Mus musculus: one gene and its partners. The protein of the gene in region 2 binds, or shares a complex with, the protein of the main gene of each other region. Links are inferred from orthologs where the notes say so. Each region holds a gene or a part of one and is shown on either strand. Other genes may lie near its edges.

Region 1 (4,062 bases), on a different chromosome or scaffold from region 2:
TTAGGGAGAATGGGAGGACAGAGTACACCCCTGAATTCTGTTTAGAAGATGAACCGTAAGCCTAGGCTAGAACTGAGGGAGCCTCTACTCCCACCCTTCCGAGGGTTGGCGGCAGCGCTGGGCAGCTGGCCTACCTACCTTTCTGAATGCTAGGGTAGGTTTGAATCACCATGCCGGCCTGGCCCGCTTCTGCCCCCATTGGCACCCTGGCTTCAGTTCCCTGGCAACATCTCTGTGTGTGTGTGTGTGTGTGTGTGAGAGAGAGAGATCAGGAGGAACAAGGGCCTCTGTCTGCCCAGCTGTCTCTCCTTCAGGGCTCTGCCAGACTACACAGTGCATACGTGGGTTTCCACAGGTCGTCTCACTCCCCGCCACTGACTAACTCCAGAACTCCACTTCCCGTTCTCAGTGCCACAAATTTGGTGCCAAATTCTCTCCAGAGAAGCCTCTCTGGAAACTTCCCAGAGGATCCCATTCACCCCAGGGCCCTAGCTCCTGATGACTGCAGATCAGACAAGGGCTCAGATAAGCATACTCCCCCCCCCCCGTAACCCCCTCCCCACATATAAACCTAGAGTTATGCTTCCGAGGTCAAACACGCAACTTTTTGGGTGTGTGTGTATGTCAGAAACACGCAATTATTTGGGAGCTCAAAGTCTGCCGCACTCAAGAATCAACTCTCACCCCCTTTCCAAGACCCGTGCCATTTGAGCAAGAGTTGGGGTGTGCATAATGTAGTCACTAGGGGGCGCTCGGCCATCACGGGGAGATCGTGAACTTGGGCGAGCCGAGTCTGCGTGAGGGAGGACGCGTGTGTCAATGTGAGTGCGTGCATGCATGTGTGTGTGTGTGTAGTGTGTTTGTGAGGTGGGGGAGAAAGCCAGGGGTCACTCTAGTTGTCCCTATCCTCATACGTCCCTGCCAGCTCTCCGCCTTCCAACCCCTACTTTCTCCTATATTCCTGGGAAAGGGAATTGTTCTTAGACCCTGTCCGCATATAACCTCACTCTCCTGTCTCCCCTGATTCCCAATACTCTGGGATTCCCAGTGTGTTCCTGAGCCCAGTTTGAAGGGGTGCACAGATAATTTTGAGGCCGTGGACCCTGGTAAGGGGTTTAGCTTTCCATTTCGCGGTAGTGGCCTAGGGGCTCCCCGAAAGGCGGTGCCTGGCTCCACCAGACCGCTCCCCGGGGCGGGTCTGGGCGGGGCTTGGGGGTGGAGCTAGATTTCCTCTTTTTCTTCCACCGCTGTTACCGGTGAGAAGCGCAGAGGCTTGGGGCAGCCGAGCTGCAGCGAGGCCGCGGCACTGGGGGCGAGCTGAGCGGCGGCAGCGGAGCTCTGTCGCGAGACGCAGCGACAAGGCAGACTATTCAGCGGACTCACCAGCCCGGGAGTCTGTGCTCTGGGATTTGATATTCAAACCTCTTAATTTTTTTTTCTTAAACTGTATTGTTTTACGCTTTAATTTATTTTTGCTTCCTATTCCCCTCTTAAATCGTGCCAACGGTTTGAGGAGGTTGGTTCTTCACTCCCTCAAATCACTTCGGATTGTGGAAATCAGCAGACGAAAGAGGTATCAAGAGCTCCAGAGAGAAGTCAAGGAAGAGAGAGAGAGACCGGTCAGAGAGAGCGCGCTGGCGAGCGAACAGAGAGAGGGACAGGGGCAAAGTGACTGACCTGCTTTTGGGGGTGACCGCCAGAGCGCGGCGTGAGCCCTCCCCCTTGGGATCTTGCATCGGACCAGTCGCGCTGACGGACAGACAGACAGACACCGCCCCCAGCCCCAGCGCCCACCTCCTCGCCGGCGGGCTGCCGACGGTGGACGCGGCGGCGAGCCGCGAGGAACCGAAGCCCGCGCCCGGAGGCGGGGTGGAGGGGGTCGGGGCTCGCGGGATTGCACGGAAACTTTTCGTCCAACTTCTGGGCTCTTCTCGCTCCGTAGTAGCCGTGGTCTGCGCCGCAGGAGACAAACCGATCGGAGCTGGGAGAAGTGCTAGCTCGGGCCTGGAGAAGCCGGGGCCCGAGAAGAGAGGGGAGGAAGAGAAGGAAGAGGAGAGGGGGCCGCAGTGGGCGCTCGGCTCTCAGGAGCCGAGCTCATGGACGGGTGAGGCGGCCGTGTGCGCAGACAGTGCTCCAGCCGCGCGCGCGCCCCAGGCCCCGGCCCGGGCCTCGGTTCCAGAAGGGAGAGGAGCCCGCCAAGGCGCGCAAGAGAGCGGGCTGCCTCGCAGTCCGAGCCGGAGAGGGAGCGCGAGCCGCGCCGGCCCCGGACGGGCCTCCGAAACCATGAACTTTCTGCTCTCTTGGGTGCACTGGACCCTGGCTTTACTGCTGTACCTCCACCATGCCAAGGTAAGCGGTCGTGCCCGTCTGCTGTCGCCGGGCCGTGGCGAGCGCCTCTCCCGCTTGGGGACGTGCGTGCGTGCGAGCGCGCGCGTGGGGGGCTTCGTGCCCCACGCGGGTCCTTGGGCACCGGGCGCGAGGCGTCCCCCTCTGTCGTCGTACGTGGAGGGGGAGGGGGTGCGCGCTAGGTGGGAGGGCGCCAGGATCGTCTCGCCGCCCACGCGGGCCCTGCCCACCCACCAGAGTCACCGCACGTACGATCTGGGCCGAGCAGCGGAGGGCGGGAGCCAGAGGAGGAGGCTGAGGGGGCTGGGCTTGTGCCGAGGCTGGCGGCAGAAGTTTGCTCCGGGTCGCGGGTCCCCGGAGAACTGGAAGTCCGGGCAAAGGGGGCGGGAGTCCGGAGCCCAGCGGGCATGCCTGGGGGTGCTCGGACCTTGGACCCGGGGAGGGCAGAGATCGTGGAGGGGGCAGGGCGCGGGCGACCGAGGGGGCTTTGCTGTCACTGCCGTTTGGGTCTCTGAGGCCCTTGCAGTGAGTTTGGGGAAAGTTTTAGGATGGATTGCTGCGGGGACCCTCTCCCACCGCTCTAGCTTGTTGGGCCACCTGCACCGCGCCACCCCCTCCCGTCCCCGCTCGCGTCCCGCGCGGTGCCCGCCCTCCCCCGCCTGGCCGGGCGCGCGCGGCGCAGAGCCGATTACATCAGCCCGGGCCTGGCCGGCCTCGTGTTCCCGGAGCCGCGGCTGCCGGAGCCCGGAGACCCGGGCGACGAGCGGCGCCCCTCCCCCCACCGGCCCTCCGCGAGGAAGGTGACCTCTGGAGGTATCCCCAGCTCCGGGACCCGGAGAAACTCCCATACCTCTTTCCTCCGTTCCCAACTTCTACCCGTGCCTCGCGCTAGGAAGAATTTCCCGACGCCCCTTCCCCCTTTTCCCCATTTCCTGCCTGGTGTAAAAAGAGAAGCCCTTCCCACCCTTTTATATTTTCCTTTTCTTTGCGAAGACTCATCGGACCTTTCCTGGACCCAGGGTCCAGGAAAAGGACGGTGACTGTCAGGCGTGGGGGTGCTGAGGCCCACCCTCGGGTTCTTTGTGGAAACGCTGACCTAAGTTTTGAGTTGGTGAAGGTGTGCTCCCTCCTCCCCTCACAGCTGTGCTTCAGGTTTTTTTTTTTTTTTGCGGGGGGGGGGGTGGATCAACGAAGGGTGGACTGACATCACCCCATTTCCCACCCCCACCCCCCCTTTGGAAACATGACTTGATATTTGCTCTGACAGGGGCAGCCTGGAACCAGCCCTTTCCCATACCTTTGGCAGGATCCCTTGTCAGTCAGTATCTCTCACACACTTTGTCCTGGCAAAGCCCGATGCCCAGAGAGCAGGTGGTTTAACTGCGAACTTGCCCACCCAACTTGCCTACCAAAGGGTCCTTTCATGCTTATTTCCACGAAGCTTCAGTTGTAGAGCCTTCTTGGAAAGGAGGCAGAAGGAAGGAGAAGGGCAGGTGTCCCTGCCACCATCCAGAGTTCCCCAGACCCTGGCACAAAGGCCTTGGTTCTGGGCCTCCATGTGGGGAGGAGGATAGGAGTGCTTGGCCACAGTGTGACCTTCAGAGGCCCCCAGAGAAGGACACCTGGCCAGTCCCTGCCTTAGAACCTCCCCATCTGGGAAGGGGTTCAAAGTTTCTGTTCCCTTTCTCCACGGGGGGCTAGACAGAAGAATAAGGA
Region 2 (3,508 bases):
AAGGCCTACTTCTGAGACTGCATCACAGGGAAAAGGTAAATGTTTGCCCGGGAGTGCCCGTCTTTCCAGTGGCCTGCTGGAAAGTTTGAGTCCAGTCACAGCTCAATCAACTGCAGCACGTGGGCTGGCCATCTGGTTTGTTGTTGCGTGTATGGGTGTTTTGTTAGCCTGTATCTGTGTGTCCCCCATGTGTGCCTAGTGCTTCCAGACAGCAGAAGAAGGCGTCCCCTGCAAGAGCAGTCAGTGCTCTTCATTGCTAGACCCGAGAGCCAGGCATTTGAGCCAGGAAAGGTAGGTAGGAAGGTAAGTGGCCAGGCTTGGGTGGCCTTCGGCTTAGAGAACCACTGAGGTCATCTCTACCAGTCCACTGTACAGCCGGAGCCCAGCGATTCCGAAATGATGCAGAACGGAAGGAAGAACTGCCTGACGGATCAAGCCGCAGGGGATTGTGGAAACATCTACAAGTGAGACGTGGGTAATGGATGCAGCAGGATGCAGACAATCCTGATTGTAGAAGTTTGAATTCTCAGGGTTACAGACAGGACTGTGTTCCCTTGCTAGCCCAGGGACCAGAAACGGGACGTGTTGTCTCGTGAGTCTGTGGACACGTCCCAAATCGTCCTTCACAGCTGGACACACCTGGCTCCTTTCCATCAAGGCCCCATATTTCTCAGGCTCAGCCTGCCTGTTACACGAAGCCCCAGTCTTCCTTGTCACAGAGCCTGGGGTTCATATGCCTAATATTGTGACCCCTCTTCTCATCCCTGGGTGTGGGGTGGTTGCTTTTCTGCCATGCCTGAACACTAGGAGGCCAGGTAGCCTTAAACACCCACCCACCAAGCATCCCACCGTCCCTGGCATCCTCCTCCCCCACCCCTATCTGGCTTCCTTACTCTATCTTCATGGAGGCCTTGGGCTTGGTCTCAGTCCAGGTGAACCGCTTCAGCAAGGGGGAGCCCAGCAGAGTGCTAGTGTCCAGCTGATAGTCCTGTGGGATGAGGAGAGAAAGATGATTCATTTGCTTGGCCAAGCAGGCTCCACAGTGACTCTGGGAAGACACTGGGAGGCACCACTGAGGTGTGGCCCAGTGCTGCCCTCAGCAAACACAGCCCCCCGCCTGTCAGCACCGTGCCTGTTCCTTGTACTGACATCGGTGAGCTCGTCAGAGACAAAACAGTGCCTGTCGTGGGCAACTTTACCACCCTCCTTCCAGAAGGTGAAGAAAATAAGAAGGAATTGCAGGGTCTGAGGAGATGGCTCAGTGGATTAAGTGCTTACGGGGCACACATGAGAACCTCAGAGTTCTCATAAAAGGCAGGCATTGTGACTCAGGTCTGTCATCCCAGCCCTGGGGGCAGGAGGTGGGGATGGAGACAGGCACGGCCTGGAGCTTGCTGGCCAGCTACTCTAGCTCAACTGTGAGCTCCAGGTTCCTTGAAAGATCCTGTCTTTAAAAACAAACCAATTAATCAACCACAACCCCAGTAAGATGAACAATTGAGAAAGACACCCAACCTTGGCCAATGGATTCCACACATATATTGGGGGGCAGGCACATATGCACAGAGGTGCACACAGCATGCACGTAGACATACACACACATACATGCAATGGAAAATTGCATGTAACTGCTTGGTATTTTCCGTGTGAAATTTTCATGCAAATTATCATATGTTAAATTATCATATATGCAAATTATCATATATGTTAAAACAAAGCTTGGTGTCTGGCTATGAGTATACTATTGCACGTAAGATTTCAAGGAAATTATAGATGTGGTTGAATAATTTTCTCTTGGAGAGTCTCTGGCATCTGCCATGTGTACATATTTTAGATGCACATTTGCATATGCATGTTTGCATATGCATGCTTGCATATGCATATGCCCTATTTGCCATAGTTTCTAGGAGCTGTGGTCCAGTCATCCCCATCATGGAATTTTCCACCTGTCCTTCAGTACTGTTACTGCTGACGTGGAGGGGACTCCACACTTGGTTCCTCCCTCCCTCTGAGGCTCTTCCTGGGCCATTTGAACACCGGTGAGGACCCAGGGCGGCCAAGGTGCTGTCATCGTCTGCCCCACTTTAGGGGTAGCCTAACCCAGAGAAATTCTGAGGTTCACTCAGTGTTATTCCTGGAACTTGAACCACCCTACTGAGCCACAGCACAAAATTTCTAACTACATTATCATGGACTGCATCCTACCACTTACAATGGAGATGCCTTTATATTTTGAAGTCACTGTGACCCTTTATCGTGTGTGTCTATGAGGTTCAGGTCATATTTATCTTTTATGTGTGTGCACTTGCATGTATGTCTGGCACTTAAGACTAGGGCTTCCTGTCTCCTGGAACTAGACTTACAGGTGGCTGTGAGCCCCCATGTGGGTTCTGGGACCTGAACTGGGATCCTCTGAAAGAGCAGCCAGTGCTCTTAACTACTACAGTGTCTCTCCAGGCCCCAGCATTGAGGTTTTTCCTCTTGAATTACGGCACTGTGTTTGTCTCGGGAGCCCACTCCACCCTGTCCAAGGGCCTCTCCATAGCCTTGCTGACAGAAGCTTCTGGTTGGCCAGTTTACTCTGGTGTGCTCTGACCAGTGTGTCTGGGTGGGAACATGGCTGCTCAGCTGCAGAACCTTCCGCTAAAGGGGCCTAGGGCCTCCATGGACTTCTTTCAGACCTCTGCACGGGGTCTCTGTGGTATCACAAGGCCCAGCCGCTTGCACATCTTACATTCTTTTTTTTTTAAAGATTTATTTATTTATTATATGTAAGTACATTGTAGCTGTCTTCAGATATTCCAGAAGAGGAAGTCAGATCTCGTTACGGATGGTTGTGAGCCACCATGTGGTTGCTGGGATTTGAACTCTGGACCTTTGGAAGAGCAGTCGGGTGCTCTTACCCACTGAGCCATCTCACCAGCCCCACATCTTACATTCTTAAAGAAAGAAAGGTGTGTCCTGGATAGCCAGCCTACAAGAGAGCCCCGGAAACATACACAGGGACTACTCCTTCCCCTTCTGGAGAGCTGGTGGGACAGGACTCCTTCAAACTGTGGCATTCTCTTTCACATCAGCTCCTCATGATGAAGTCTGGCTGTCTATTCTTCCCCATCTTGGAACCTTGGCCTCTACTGATCGCTGGTCCTCCCTGGCCAAGCACTGCCTGGGGTGGCTGCTTCGACAGGGGGAGACTTCTGACAGAGAGCACTGTGTCCTTATGATCATGACTTACCTCAAACATGGAGGTGGAGTTCGGTGAAAGCTCCTCAAAGGTTTTGATTCTTTCCAGGCTCATGAATTTGAAAGCGTTTACATATCTGATGGAGACGTAGAAAGAATTATCAAGGTAGGAGAAAAAGGCTCACACCAATGAAATGAACCAGGACATTATAGAACCTGAGTGGACCCATCCACCTAGCAACCAAAATACCAACTGACTCAGACTCGCTCCTTCCTATACTATGACGTTACCTCAGGGTAACGTCACTTCCCCTATGTAGTGCTT
Region 3 (4,279 bases), on a different chromosome or scaffold from region 2:
CTCCTAGCACTGCGTAAATGAGGGCGGTTTTTCCTTTTTGTTTTGTTTTGATTTGTTTTGTTTTGTTTCTCTGAGACAGGGTTTCTTTGTGTAGAACTGGCTGACCTGGAACTCCCTGTGTAGACCAGGCTGGCCTCGAAGTCAGTGCACCATCACCACCAAGCAATTTTTTTTTTTTTTTTTTTTGCAAATTTTTTAAGTTCAGGGTCATCTTTGGTTACATATGGAGTTTGAGGCTAGCCTAGGCTACATTAAACTGTGTCTCAATATAGAAAGAAAGAGGGCCAGGCAGTGGTGGTGCACGCCTTTAATCCCAGCACTTGGGGGGCAAAGGCAGGTGGATTTCTGAGTTCGAGGCCAGCCTGGTCTACAAAGTGAGTTCCAGGACAGCCAAGGCTATACAGAGAAAACCTGTCTCAAAAAACCATAAAAAAAAATAAAAGAAAAGAAAGAAAGAGCGAGGAAGGACAAGTGCCGTATAACAGTGACAGTCCATGGTAGCTGCCAGGACCTCACCATACACTCGAATGCATGCTGTCATACCAGTTTTCTGTGGCATAGAAACCCAAAGGATGGAGCCCATTGTCCGTAGTATCTAGCAATGGAGATTACCTAAATATGCCCCCTTTCTAGTCTTCTGGGAGAGGCAACCTGATTTCAGAGCTGTTTCACCAACCTTCTTCACAGGACAGCCAGTGACTTAGGGTGCCACCTAGTTCTGGGACTTGGGCCACTTGGTGTCTGTTATAGAGAGAGATGTAAAGTTGTGTGAGAGATGCTAGAACCTGGTCAAGGACCAGGGTTTGAGGGACACCAGAGTTCGGAGACTCGGAGTTAACTGCAATTCCTTCACAGGAAGCTGGAGCAGGTGCATCGCAGCTTCATGGATGAAAAGGACCGGATCATTACAGCCATCTACAATGACACTCGGGCCAGGGCCAGGTCTGTCACTGCTCTGACTTTGCTTCCTGCTTCAGCACCACCCTCCAGGATGTCTGTCCTGATCCTGTTTTTCTTTCCAGGGCCAACAGAGCCAGGATTCAGCAGGAGCGCCAGCAGAGGCAGCAGCCTCGGGCAGAACCCTCCCTGCCTCCAGAAAGCTCCAGGATCATGCCCCAGGACACAAGCCCCTGAGAGGCTTAACTAAATGGGACCTTCATTGGTCCTCTCCCTGCTGCCTGTCCAGAACTACACGTGCAATAAACTCATTTTCAGACGCCTGTCCGATTCGGTCCTTCAGGTCACGCATCTCCTCACCCCTCCCCTCGTGAGGCAGCGACCCCCGGAGCTCGGCCTCCAGGGCGGTGTGTCCCCTTTCCCCTGCAGCGGCGGGAGGGGGCGTTTGGAGGGGACCGGCTCCGCCCCCGCCCCGCCTCCGCCCGCGGCCCGGTGGGGAGCGCGTGTTTAGGTCACATGAGCCTCTTGCCCGCCAGCCCCGGCCAGGCCCCCTGCCACCCCCCGCCGTCCCCGTTGCCCGCCGTCCCGGCCACCACCGCCGCCACTACAGGCCGCCTGCCTGTCTTGTTCCTCAGGCCGTCGCTGCGGCGCTGCGTTGCGCTGCCTGCGCCCAGGGCTCGGGAGGGGGCCGCGGAGGAGCCGCCCCCTGCGCCCCGCCCCGGGTCCCCGGGCCCGCGCCATGGGGCTCTGGCTGCCGCCGCCCCCCACGCCGCCGGGCTAGGGCCATGCGGGCGCTCCCGGCGCTCGCCCCCCGCGGGCACCATGAGCCCCCTGCTCCGTCGCCTGCTGCTTGTTGCACTGCTGCAGCTGGCTCGCACCCAGGTACGTGCGTCCGCGACATCCCGCTCGCTAGCTCGCCCGCCCGCCCGCGGTGCCCTCTCAAGGTTGGCGGAAGTGGGGAGGCGCCTGCTACCTCTGTCGAGGGGATCCTCAGTTCAAACCGGGAATATCCCTTAAGAGGTGCCCCTTGGCGAAGGCCCGCTAGTCCTAGCCCATGCCCCTGGGGCCACTCCCCCACCTCACCCCATCCCCTGGGCGGTTGTAGGGCGGAGCTGCCTCCGTGCCCTCCGAACCTCGTTTGTCTCCCACTATCCTGGCTCCTGACCTAAAACAAGCCCAGCGCTAAGGCTTGGGCTTTAGTACCATTCCCAGAGTATGCCTGGTGGGTCTTGGGCCAGGGAAAGTACCAGATGTCTGAGTATACAAGAAAAATTAGAACCAAGGTCTTGGGAACAGAATAAATCTGGAAAGGTGTCAGAAAGGCGCAGAAGCCTGACTCAAGGACGGAGCCCTTACATAGCCACAGGGCCAGCCCTTTTAGAGTGCATCTTGGGCCCAGGTATCTTCTTTCCCACAGGCCCCTGTGTCCCAGTTTGATGGCCCCAGCCACCAGAAGAAAGGTAATAATAGTTAACAATAACTTGCCACCAGCCAGTACTAAGAGGGGTTAGCACTTGCTCTGATTTCATATCCCTTATCTTGCGTGATCCCAACTCCTTTGGGCGATACCATTCCATAGAGGAAGAAACTGAGGCAGAGGGCTTAATCATTTCTTGAGAAACAAGGCAGAGAAAGACAGGTTTAAAAGATGGTTGGGGTGGTGGTGATAGGGTATCAGAGAGGCTACATGCTCAGAGGAGCTTCAGGAGACCTGATAAGAACTTAATCCATCTGGGTCTGCCCACAGTGGTGCCATGGATAGACGTTTATGCACGTGCCACATGCCAGCCCAGGGAGGTGGTGGTGCCTCTGAGCATGGAACTCATGGGCAATGTGGTCAAACAACTAGTGCCCAGCTGTGTGACTGTGCAGCGCTGTGGTGGCTGCTGCCCTGACGATGGCCTGGAATGTGTGCCCACTGGGCAACACCAAGTCCGAATGCAGGTACCAGGGCCTATGGGTCAGGTGTGTTGATGGGACAGTGATGTCCTATGGGCTGGGCCAACCCAGGGAGGGGCGTGCTGGAGGTGGGAATTTCTGGTCATTCTTTCTCTAGCCTATCTAGTATCCCCTTCCTCTGTCTTTTTCTGGCCCTGCCCCCCACCACTCACTGTCTCTTCCTCGTTCTCCTGAGCACAGATCCTCATGATCCAGTACCCGAGCAGTCAGCTGGGGGAGATGTCCCTGGAAGAACACAGCCAATGTGAATGCAGGTGCCAGCCAGGTCCAGGTCACAAAGTGTAGCATGGGGTGGGGGTACCAGGCATGGGCTTGTACCTTACTTAGTAGGGACCAGGTGACTGAGAGTAGAGCCAGAAGTAGTAGGCATGGATCCTGGGGCAAGAGTGCAGGAGGCTTGGGTTTCTTTAATCTTTCTCTCTCTCTCTTTTCAGACCAAAAAAAAAGGAGAGTGCTGTGAAGCCAGACAGGTGAGTTTTTGGGATTCTTGGTGCTGGTCCAGGAGAGAGAGCTCATGGGTTAGGGGGTGCACAAGTGAGCCAGGAGGCTGCAGCCCCTCTGCCTTCTTCTCTCACCCGACTCTCTTCCCTTTTATACTCCCCAAATCCACACACTCTGCTCTAACCCTAGCTCCTGGGAAGACTCTTCCCACCCCAGACGTGTCGCTTCTCCTCCTAGGGTTGCCATACCCCACCACCGTCCCCAGCCCCGCTCTGTTCCGGGCTGGGACTCTACCCCGGGAGCATCCTCCCCAGCTGACATCATCCATCCCACTCCAGCCCCAGGATCCTCTGCCCGCCTTGCACCCAGCGCCGTCAACGCCCTGACCCCCGGACCTGCCGCTGCCGCTGCAGACGCCGCCGCTTCCTCCATTGCCAAGGGCGGGGCTTAGAGCTCAACCCAGACACCTGTAGGTAAGGAGTCTGTGGGGTGGTGCTTGTGTGAGAAGGCCGCAAGGTTATGTCCTGGAGCAGGTCCAGATGAGCCTGCTAGTGGTGAAAAGACCAGGGATGGAGAAGCCAGCTGAATGTGTTAAGTCATTTACTGTGCATCTGCTGGTAACCAGATCATCAAAACCTCAGCTGAAGACTAGATGTGCAAGTCAGAGGGTGAGAGAGCTGATGCCACTCTTAGGAAAGGATGCTGAACCTGTGATAGGGGCACCAATCTAGCTAAGCAATCAACCATCTCCCGGAGTGGAACTAAAGAAGGCTTTTTCCAATCTGCAGAGCTTTATGTGATTGATATTTCTCCATTCTGCAGGCTCTGAGAGAGCAAAGATAATATGAGAGCCCCCATCTGCCTCTGCCTGGAGTGCTTACTTAAGTAACCCTTCTGTGCTCTATAGTGAGGCCAGGGGATGACTTATGGGCCAGGCCCTGGAGGCTTCTAGAGAGTATCAGAATAAAATGGGGTTCAAATG

Evidence for each region. Proteins that work in one complex are often made in the same cells at the same time.
Region 1: the proteins of Flt1 (region 2) and Vegfa are in contact, whole or in part, in a crystal structure (PDB 5T89), measured with the Homo sapiens proteins. The link is inferred for Mus musculus from reciprocal best matches to the Homo sapiens genes FLT1 and VEGFA. Residues at the interface, in NP_002010.2 of Homo sapiens: Ile142, Pro143, Ile145, His147, Leu221, His223, Gln225, Asn227, Asn259, Thr260, Arg261, Val262, Gln263, Met264, Ser277, Val278, Arg279, Arg280, Phe292, Tyr293, Ser315, Pro317; in NP_003367.4 of Homo sapiens: Phe242, Pro246, Asp247, Ile249, Glu250, Tyr251, Ile252, Lys254, Met287, Ile289, Lys290, Pro291, His292, Gln295, Ile297.
Region 3: the proteins of Flt1 (region 2) and Vegfb are in contact, whole or in part, in a crystal structure (PDB 2XAC), measured with the Homo sapiens proteins. The link is inferred for Mus musculus from reciprocal best matches to the Homo sapiens genes FLT1 and VEGFB. Residues at the interface, in NP_002010.2 of Homo sapiens: Tyr139, Glu141, Pro143, Phe172, Pro173, Tyr199, Ile202, Gly203, Leu204, Asn219, Leu221, Arg224, Thr226; in NP_003368.1 of Homo sapiens: Ser37, Trp38, Ile39, Tyr42, Thr43, Thr46, Cys47, Gln48, Pro83, Asp84, Asp85, Gly86, Leu87, Cys124, Arg125, Pro126.

The regions. Positions count from the first base shown.
Region 1 is NC_000083.6:46,029,578-46,033,639, reverse strand, and holds the start of Vegfa (vascular endothelial growth factor A), read left to right. Parts: upstream 1-1,262; 5' UTR 1,263-1,749; coding exon 1,750-2,349; intron 2,350-4,062.
Region 2 is NC_000071.6:147,565,507-147,569,014, forward strand, and holds part of Flt1 (vascular endothelial growth factor receptor 1 isoform 1 precursor), read right to left. Parts: intron 3,321-3,508; coding exon 3,236-3,320; intron 989-3,235; coding exon 894-988; intron 1-893. UniProt on the Homo sapiens protein: Tyrosine-protein kinase that acts as a cell-surface receptor for VEGFA, VEGFB and PGF, and plays an essential role in the development of embryonic vasculature, the regulation of angiogenesis, cell survival, cell migration, macrophage function, chemotaxis, and cancer cell invasion.
Region 3 is NC_000085.6:6,984,852-6,989,130, reverse strand, and holds the start of Vegfb (vascular endothelial growth factor B isoform Vegf-b167 precursor), read left to right. Parts: upstream 1-1,479; 5' UTR 1,480-1,719; coding exon 1,720-1,779; intron 1,780-2,314; coding exon 2,315-2,357; intron 2,358-2,644; coding exon 2,645-2,841; intron 2,842-3,036; coding exon 3,037-3,110; intron 3,111-3,290; coding exon 3,291-3,326; intron 3,327-3,534; coding exon of another isoform or gene 3,535-3,635; coding exon 3,636-3,770; intron 3,771-4,279. Other genes in the region: Dnajc4 (dnaJ homolog subfamily C member 4 isoform a precursor), read left to right, coding at 856-942, 1,023-1,134. UniProt on the Homo sapiens protein: Growth factor for endothelial cells. VEGF-B167 binds heparin and neuropilin-1 whereas the binding to neuropilin-1 of VEGF-B186 is regulated by proteolysis.